2 linked regions of the Callithrix jacchus genome follow. The protein of the gene in region 1 binds, or shares a complex with, the protein of each later gene. Links are inferred from orthologs where the notes say so. Each region holds a gene or a part of one and is shown on either strand. Other genes may lie near its edges. The genes, in order: CMKLR1 and RARRES2.

What was found.
Region 2: the proteins of CMKLR1 (region 1) and RARRES2 are in contact, whole or in part, in a cryo-EM structure (PDB 8ZJG), measured with the Homo sapiens proteins. The link is inferred for Callithrix jacchus from reciprocal best matches to the Homo sapiens genes CMKLR1 and RARRES2. Residues at the interface, in NP_001135815.1 of Homo sapiens: Asp20, Tyr21, Leu22, Asp23, Ser24, Ile25, Val26, Val27, Leu28, Phe88, Leu92, His95, Tyr103, His104, Asn116, Leu119, Ile120, Met123, Arg178, Leu183, His184, Gly185, Lys186, Ser188, Cys189, Phe190, Asn191, Trp203, Thr205, His217; in NP_002880.1 of Homo sapiens: Leu34, Phe37, His38, Phe60, Thr75, Ser76, Cys77, Arg96, Leu111, Gly112, Arg113, Leu114, Val115, His116, Cys117, Pro118, Ile119, Thr133, Leu136, Arg137, Gln139, Arg140, His146, Ser147, Phe148, Tyr149, Phe150, Pro151, Gly152, Gln153.

What each region holds. Positions count from the first base shown.
Region 1 is NC_133510.1:111,172,138-111,175,940, forward strand, and holds part of CMKLR1 (chemerin-like receptor 1), read right to left. Parts: intron 3,573-3,803; 5' UTR 3,570-3,572; coding exon 2,454-3,569; 3' UTR 1-2,453. UniProt on the Homo sapiens protein: Receptor for the chemoattractant adipokine chemerin/RARRES2 and for the omega-3 fatty acid derived molecule resolvin E1.
Region 2 is NC_133512.1:97,888,804-97,893,267, reverse strand, and holds the start of RARRES2 (retinoic acid receptor responder protein 2), read right to left. Parts: upstream 2,820-4,464; 5' UTR 2,762-2,819; intron 2,594-2,761; exon of another isoform or gene 2,339-2,593; intron 1,617-2,338; 5' UTR 1,597-1,616; coding exon 1,423-1,596; intron 1,200-1,422; coding exon 1,095-1,199; intron 266-1,094; coding exon 170-265; intron 1-169. UniProt on the Homo sapiens protein: Adipocyte-secreted protein (adipokine) that regulates adipogenesis, metabolism and inflammation through activation of the chemokine-like receptor 1 (CMKLR1). Also acts as a ligand for CMKLR2.

The sequences.
Region 1 (3,803 bases):
CAGGAACCTAAGTTAGAACAGGAAGACCAGCAGAGCATCCAGAAAGAGGGAGGCCAGACTCTAAGGAGGAAAACAGTGGGTTTGAATTGTGCTCCTGTTGATCATCTTTTCTGATGACAACATGAATTCCTGGCTCCCCCAGCCTGGCCTGGACTCCCAGAAGCCCAGGAAAAGCAGCATCCTAGGAGCCAAGAGGCCCAAGTTGCTGATGACTGCTGCTGTGACCTGGGACAGATCCCACACCATCTCGTGCCTCAGTAAACATGGGAAGAGCGATGATGGGGGCCACTGAGCAATATTTAAAGCTCCCTTTTTGCTCTCAAACTGTCTATATTCAAACTCTTTAAAACATTCAGAGGCTCCAGCTTGGGGTCAATTCAGAGCTGCCTTGTCATAAGCATTAAGGCACAACAAGGGAAGGAACAGTTTGTCTTTTAATGAAGTGTGATTCCAAACAGCCCGTGGCCTCGGGAACTCACCCAGCACAGGGTAGACATTGCATCTGTTCGTTGCATCTTGGTGGAGAATCAGCTTAAGGATGAAAGGACTTGGAAGAGAACAGAACGTGGACACTTAGGAGCCAAAGGGACTCGGGCCCACAAGGGACTGCCTCCTGCCAGCCCTCCCTCCCCATTGCCTTCATCTCAGGAGACGCAGGAGGTGGAGCCACGGTAGGGGGCTGTTAATGGCTGCTGAGCAAGCTGGAAGCCAAGTGCATTTTCTCTGCCATGTTGCATCATTTTTGAAAATTATTTACAAAGCTTCTTAAAGGCCATTAAGATGTTCACATTCTTTTGCAGAAGAATCAATATTTATGGTAAAAATCTCCAACCTCTTTAGGTCCTTCCTGACTCTGCAGCCTCATTTGAGCCAGGTAGACTGAGGTTCAAATCCAAGTTCTGGCAGAGACTAGCTGGGTATCTTTGGGCAACTTACTTAACTTCTCTGAGCCTCAGATTCCTCCTGTGTAAAAGGGAAGTTGTAACAGTACCTAACTCAGGGTTGATGTAATGATTAAATGAGAAAACATATGTAAAGTGCGTAATACAAAAAGTGCTAAATAAATGTAGGCTTTCAATACACTAGAATCATCTCCACAGAGAAACTCCAAATAGAGGAAAGGAGTTTCTGGAGCCAGACAGAGCCAGGTTCAGACCTTAACTCTGCCACTGATTAGCTGTGTGATGTTGGGCAACTTACTTTGCCCCTCTGGGCCTCAGCTATGTCATTTGTAAATGGGGCAATGACACTCTGTGCCACAGGGACGTGTCAATATTAGATGAAAAAAGCTATGCCAGGCATCTATATCCAGGAGGTATTTGGTGTCTGCAGCTCGGGACCACAGTTCAAGGAGTCCAGTTTCAGACTCTTTCAAGTGACTGAACCCTCGGACATACTCTTCTTCCAAGTGGACTCTCCAGAGTTGCTTCCCAAAGCTGTATTTTGGACCCATCTCCAAAGGCATTGAGAAAATTAACCAGAAGGAGAAGCCCCACCACCAGTGTTTTATTCTAAGCCCCTCCGGCCAGAGCTGAGTGGATTAGGAAAGGCCGAAAGAATCCCTGTGATGAGGTGAGGGCTGCTGGTGAAGATGCCTGCCACAACCCCACCCCCAGGTAAGAAGGGCAAGGTGAGCTCAGGGGCTGGGGCCACCCTCACCCCACAATAGCTCCAGCGTGAAGCACCATCATCCTGTGATGTTCTAGGGTGAGCTGCTTGATGCCTGCATCTTTTGAAGGTTCTTTTCTTCTTTTGCATTCCTTTGCCAAATCTCAAGTCCTTGTTGCATCCCTCACTTGTCTTCCCTTGCGAAGAGCCCACATGACCTCTCAGAACCTGTTCTCTGTCTTCCTAGCTGATCCAAAAGCCAAATTCACGGTCTATGGAGTTCATGGGCTGATATGGCACCTTCCTCTCCCGGATCACCTATGCGTTTCCACATGCTTTAATGCAGAGGAGTGACTTAAAGGTAGGGCTTTCTGGCCAGTGATAATAGGCCACTCATAATAGGTAGACAAGGGCCAGGTGTGCTCTGTGTCACACTAGGTTTGCTCTGACCTCCCACTGCTCACAGCAGGAATGGACCATGGAGAGTGTCTGTGTCATTCTGGGGCACACACAGTAGGCAGCTTAATCCCACTGCCTCATGCCAATCCCAGTTAATGGCAGTGCTTTTGAGAATTCTTCCTTGTTTACTTTGAGTCAGTCAAGTCTGGTCTCCCAGGAAGCATAAATGGGAGACCAGCCTTGGCTGTGTGGAACACAGTGCATTCTGTCCACTTGGAGAAAGGGGTCCCAGGCCCTGGATTCCCAGTGTAAAACACTGTTCATCCCCATGAAAAATGCAGTGGAAATTGGTGGATGCTAAAGAGGTTCTTGCCTTGATCTTCAGAAGACATATCCTTAAGTGCCCCTGGGTTGAGAAGGTCCACTGAGGGGCTCCCCAGTGAGGCTCATAGCATGCTAGTCTCCCTCTCATTCACTGAAGTCCTCTCATTCATTGATGACATCTTGGTAAAGCTTCTATGGCTGAGGTAGGAAGAGTGGGCTGTGTCTTCACTTAGAGCATTGTCCAGGCGGGAGAAGAGGGCCACCTTGAACTTCTTGAAGTCCTGACCCATGAAAACGTACAAAATGGGGTTTATACAGCTGTTGGCAATGGCGAAGCCAGTGGCCAGAGGAAAACCCAGGGTGAAGACAGAGGTAGGGATGGAAATGTGGTGGAGCTCCAGGAGGTTGAGTGTGTGGTAGGGGCACCAGCAGAAGAAGAAGGTAATGATGATGGTCACAATGATCTTGAAGGGCTTCTTGGTCTTGGCCATGCGGTTGCGCCGCAGTTTGCAGACAATGGTGAGGTAGCAAACTGTAATGATGAGGACTGGGACCAGAAAGCCGAAGAGGAAGCGGGTCATGGTCACCACCAGGTGCCAGTTGTACCCCACACGGTTCACCTGGGGTTGAGCAGACCACAAGGAAGACCCAGCTGCGGACATGCTGAAGTTGTTGAAGCAGGCTATTTTCCCATGATTGTCAGCCGTGTCCCGGAAGACAAGAGATGGGGAACTCAAGAAGAAAGCCAGGACCCAGATGACCATGCAGGCCACGTAAGCCAGGCGAACGCTGCGGTGGTTCTGAGACCACACAGGGAGGAGCACAGAGATGCAGCGGTCGAAGCTGATCATGGTCAGCAGGAAGACACTGGTGAACATGTTGTGGATGAGAAGGAAGTTGCTGATCTTGCACATGGCCGTCCCAAAAACCCAGTGGTAGTCCATGGCGACATAGGTGATATAGATCGGGAGGAAGATGTTGAACAGGAAATCTGCCACTGCCAGGTTAAGGAACCAGACCGTGTTCACCGTCTTCTTCATCTTGAAGGTGGCAATGATAATCACCAGACCATTGCCCAGGATCCCAAGGAAGCAGATGATGATGTAGACCACCACCATGGCGATCCTGGTCACCCTGGCTCCCAAGGGGGCTGACTCCTCCAAAAAAAAAATGGTGTCTAAATAATCAGGGTATTCATCATCATAACTGAAGGAGGTGTTATAATCTTCATACTCCATTCTCTGCAAGAGAAGACAGGGACCATTAGGGGAACCTAGAGCTGGCTTTAAGAGGTTGACCAACACCAGCAAGACCAACAATGTCCTCCCGGGCCCTGAGCAAGTCCAGTTTTTGTGATTTAACCACTTCCTTCTTTGCTGTTTTATTTATTGAACAAATGCCTTTCCAGTACTTCCTACATGCCAGGCACTGCATTCTATACTCTCTTAATCTTCACAACAACTTAGTGAGGT
Region 2 (4,464 bases), on another chromosome or scaffold:
ACCTCTATATCCCCTGGAGACTGTCCGGACCAGGCACAGCACCTTCTAGCCCCCACTTCCCCCTCTCCCCATCCAGCCAAGCTTCGGTCTCGTGACTGGCGCATAGGTCAAGATTCCATCTGTCTTCCCAGACCCGTCCCAGCCTCTCTGCAGCTTTGCCCCTTCTTACCCGCAGAACCTGTGTCTTTGTGGGGCAGTGGATCATCCGGCCCAGAACCTCATTCTCAGAGCCCAGTTTGATGCAGGCCAGGCATTTCCGCTTCCTCTGGGGAGGGGAGCAAAGAATGAGCAGAGGAAAGGGGTGAGGGAGGCCTGGGCATCATGAGGGTGGGAGCCAAGGCTGCCTATTATGGGACCAGCTCCCAGCTAGGCCCTCGAGCCCAGGGGTAAGGAGTCATGCAGGCCAGCGGGTTTCAGGCACAGCCCACCCCAGAATGTTGGAAGCCGGGACCATGCAGCTTTCAAACTATGGAAATTTCGTGTGTGTGCAGGCAGGAGTCCTTCCCAGATAGGTTGTCTGTGGTTTGTGTGCAGGAGTGTGGGGGATGGGTGTGCCTGTGCTCTGCAAAGGCAAGAATCCTCCTCCGATGGGCTCTTCCCACCCAACTCCTCCAGAGCAGCTCAACTGTCACCTATTCTATTTACATTTTCTTGTAAGATTTGATTTGAGGTTGGTGAATCATTGCTATAATCCAGCACCCTCCTTTAGCCGACAGAGAACTGGGGCCTTTACAGAACCTGTAATACAGAGCCCAGGTGGTGCTCACAGGGCAGGAACTAGAACACAGTCACTGCAGTCCCTGCCCAGGCATCGCCCCCATGGTGGTGGGTTTGCCCCCACCGTGGCTGATGACTGGAGCCTGGCTAGTCTACAAGGGCACCAGACACACCCTTACACAGCGGGCTCCTTCCACCCAGGCCCTGAAGCTTGAGAGAGGAACTCAGGTGAGCCCTGCTATGATGAAGGTAAGTCCAGGGGTAACCAAACCCTTTCCCTGCCTGCCAGGCCCCAGCTCGACCACCCTCACAGCCTGGGGCTCAGGCTGAGCCATTCCACCTCTTAGGAGGCTCATCACTCATACCCCTTCACTCACCCCATTGGGCTTGACTTTGCAGTGGGGTTTCTTCCAGTCCTCCTTCCGGCAGTCTGTCTGCTGGAGCTTAAATTCCAGCCTCACAAATATTCCAGCTGGGAAGGGCTGTGGACAGGCAGGCAGAGGATGGCTAGTGGCCAGCTGAGTGTCCAGAGCAAGCCCTGGTGTGACCCGTGCCTCCCTCACACAGTCACATCTCAGCAGACTATCCTGGGGCCTTTCTCCAGAGGGCCCCGCGCTCAGAGCCCATGCATTTCTGTCCTGCTTCTGGGAATGGGCCTGTCTCCCTGGTGCGACCCTCCCCTTCTGCAGGGGCCATGCTACTCACCGTGTCCTCGGCGCTGTACACGCAGATCTTCTGGAAGGTCCACTGCACGGGCGGGTGCTTATGGAATTCCTCCAGGGCCACCTGCAGGCCCCGCTGCTGGGCTTCTGTGAGCCCGGTGCTGCTCGCGCCCACCGCACCCAGCCACAGGGCCAGCGGGATCAGCAGTCGTCGCATGCTTCCGTGTCACCCCGGTCCTGCGGAGCGGGTGTGCGCCCCTCAGTTCTCGGAGCCAGCCCAAGCCGCCTCCTCCCACGCCCTGCCCCGGAGAGCCAGGCCAGCAGAACCCTGGGCGGAGGCGAAGGAGCTGGGAAATGGCTCTTTGTCCAAATTGGCCTTGGGGTCTGCCTGGTCCTCTCTATTCCCTCCCACCCTGCCTGCGCTGTTCCCTGGGGCCTGCAGTTTTAGCAAAGTTCCCTGCCACGCCTGGAATCAATCCTCTGCCCACTCCCACCCTCCACTCCTCATCTGGCTCACTGTCTCTCCCTGGGTCTCCGGCACGACCCCCTCTCCTCCCTGCAGTCCCCGGACCCCCTTTCTGCTTTCCCGGCTCAGCTTCTCCCCCCTCTAGAATCCCCCTGCTCCCATGGGGTGCCCCATTCTCCCGGCCTAGACAGCGGTGGGGAAAGGGCAAGAGCCTGGACCCAAACACGTGGGAGGGCCCGGCTGGGTGGAGGCCGCTGGAGTCCTAACCCTCCGGCGCCAGGGCTGCCGTGGCCACCAGCCTACCCCAGTCCTTAGGAATGGGGGTGGGGGTGGTTAGACCACCCCCACCCCCCATCCCCCCGGCCCTTAGCTTTCCCGCTTCAGGCAAAATCTTCCCTCCTTTCTCTTTTTTCTGGGCCTTCCCTACGACCCCTCTCCCAGCCTTTCTGATCCGTTCCCTGATGCATGACTGAGGCCACCCGGAGGGGCTGACCATCCTGGAGAGCCCCGTCCGTCCTGGGACCCGAAGGCCACAGATGTGGAAACCGAGGTCCCTCAGTGAAGAGCTGCCAGGGTCGTTGCCTTAGTGCAAAGGCGTTCCTCATTCCACCCGCGCAGCTGCCCCTCTGCCCGGCGGCCGCCCCAGCCCACTTCCCCTTCTCACGTCCTTCCTTGTGTCTGGAGGTCTCCCCTGGCCGTCCCGCAGCTGAAATTTTGGCCTCGCTGTCCGCCTCTTCCCGCTCTTCTCGCGGGCGGTCCCCACCTCCTCCCACCCCCACCTCCTGGGCCCCCTCCAGCAACTCCGGCTCCTCCCCACCCGACGTGGACTGGCCTCCTCGGGGCGGGAAGCCCTCCCGCGCCCTCCCGCGCCCTCCTTCCCCATCCCACCCGCCTCCCTCCCCTCATGACCCTGAACCTGGCCGAGGCTGCAGGCGGCTCGGCAGGGCGCGCAGTCCTCGGTCCCACCTCCCCCTGGCTCGGGTCCCGCATTCCGCGGTCTTGGCCGGCCTGGGCCTCTTCTCTGCGGCCGTGCTCCCTCAAGGGCTTTCTGCACCCCACTCCTGCCCAGGCAGGGCTGCCCTATCTTGGGTCCTTTATGGGGGACCATTCCGTAGCGTCCCTGAGACACTCATCCTGGGAATTCTTTCCCGAAATACAGACATCCTCAAACTAAAGGAGACCTCGAAGAGGTCCCTCCCCCTGTTCCCACCTCCCACTCCTTGAGCCACACTGAGAGGGAAGGTCTCTCCTTTAGGGAAGACTCTGTTGCCTGCAGCCTTGATCGACAGCAAAGATGTCCAGTGTGGATCCCGCATCTGTCTTTCCTGACCTTTCCTGTGTCCCATTTTCCGTGGGATAGACTCTCATGGGGAGTCGGGGAGCTTTTGCGTGTGGCAGAGCGGCATGATGGAATTCATAAGGTAAACGGAAACTCAGGGAAAACTGTCCTAATACCGGCTTGATTCCCTGGTACGCTGGAGCAAGGACGAGGAAGCTCTGGGACTTTGCACGTCAGTAACCACCACCACCATGCCTCTAGTTCCCACACTGCACTGATGGCCTCCAGTAGAGGAGCTCATGTAACTTCAAGGCTCTCTCTGAGCTTCTGATTCTTTATCTGTAAGATGGGCATCAGAAACTCTGTCTTGAGGAGTTGTTTTGAGGATTAAATGAGAAAACATGAAAAGCAACTGGTGCCCAGTGTGGGGCACAGGCTTTTGTCCCCTCCTTACGCACTCCCGGCCAGGATTCTCCACTTAGAGCTGAGAGCTTCCTTTACAGCATGCTCTGGGCGCACCAGAAGGAAACTCGGCTTCCATTAGCCACTTCCGGGTGCCTGAAATACCACCACTGACATTTCACTCCCCAGCTATGAGCTCCTCGGCTGTCCTTAAGCAGAGATAAGAGAGGGGATCCATGTTCACTGAAAGCTTTAGATGGGGTTAGAGAGAAGAGATGCACCGAAAGACGTTTCCCAGCCCAAGAACTTGAAGAAAACCAAAGTATTTCACCCCAAAATATACTTATTTGACACATTTCAAGGTGGCTGTTCAGAATGGCTGGAAATAGAATAACCAAAAGCTGATTTGTGGAGAGATCGGCATCTATAGAGGAAATCTGCATTGATGTAGCTACGCTTTCTCTGAGGCCCTTCCTTGTCTGGTTCTAGGAAAGATGAACTGAGAGTCTGACACCTTTTCAGGTCTGAAAGAAACATTTACTGTCCCTTCTTTCCAAGGACTGCTACCTATGAGGTGTCGTTACATAACAAGACTGCCTTTGCTAACCAGGCTTTGTCTTCCCTCCCATCCATAACCTGTCTTGCCACTATTTAAGTCCCCATCTTTGTATAAACTCAAGATGGCGAATAAGCTTCTGTATCCCATTGAGGGGTTGGGGTAATCACTCTGTGGTTCTTTCTCATGCATGTCAATGAATATTTCCTATTAAAGCTGAGGCAGGAGGATCCCTTGAGCCCAGGAGTTCAAGGGTGCAGTCAGCTATGATTGGGAAACTGTACTTCAGCCTGTCTGGACAGAACAAGACCCTGTCTCTAAAATATAAATAATTTATTAATCTGCCTTTCATCAGTTGATTTTTCAGCAAAGCTTCAGAAGG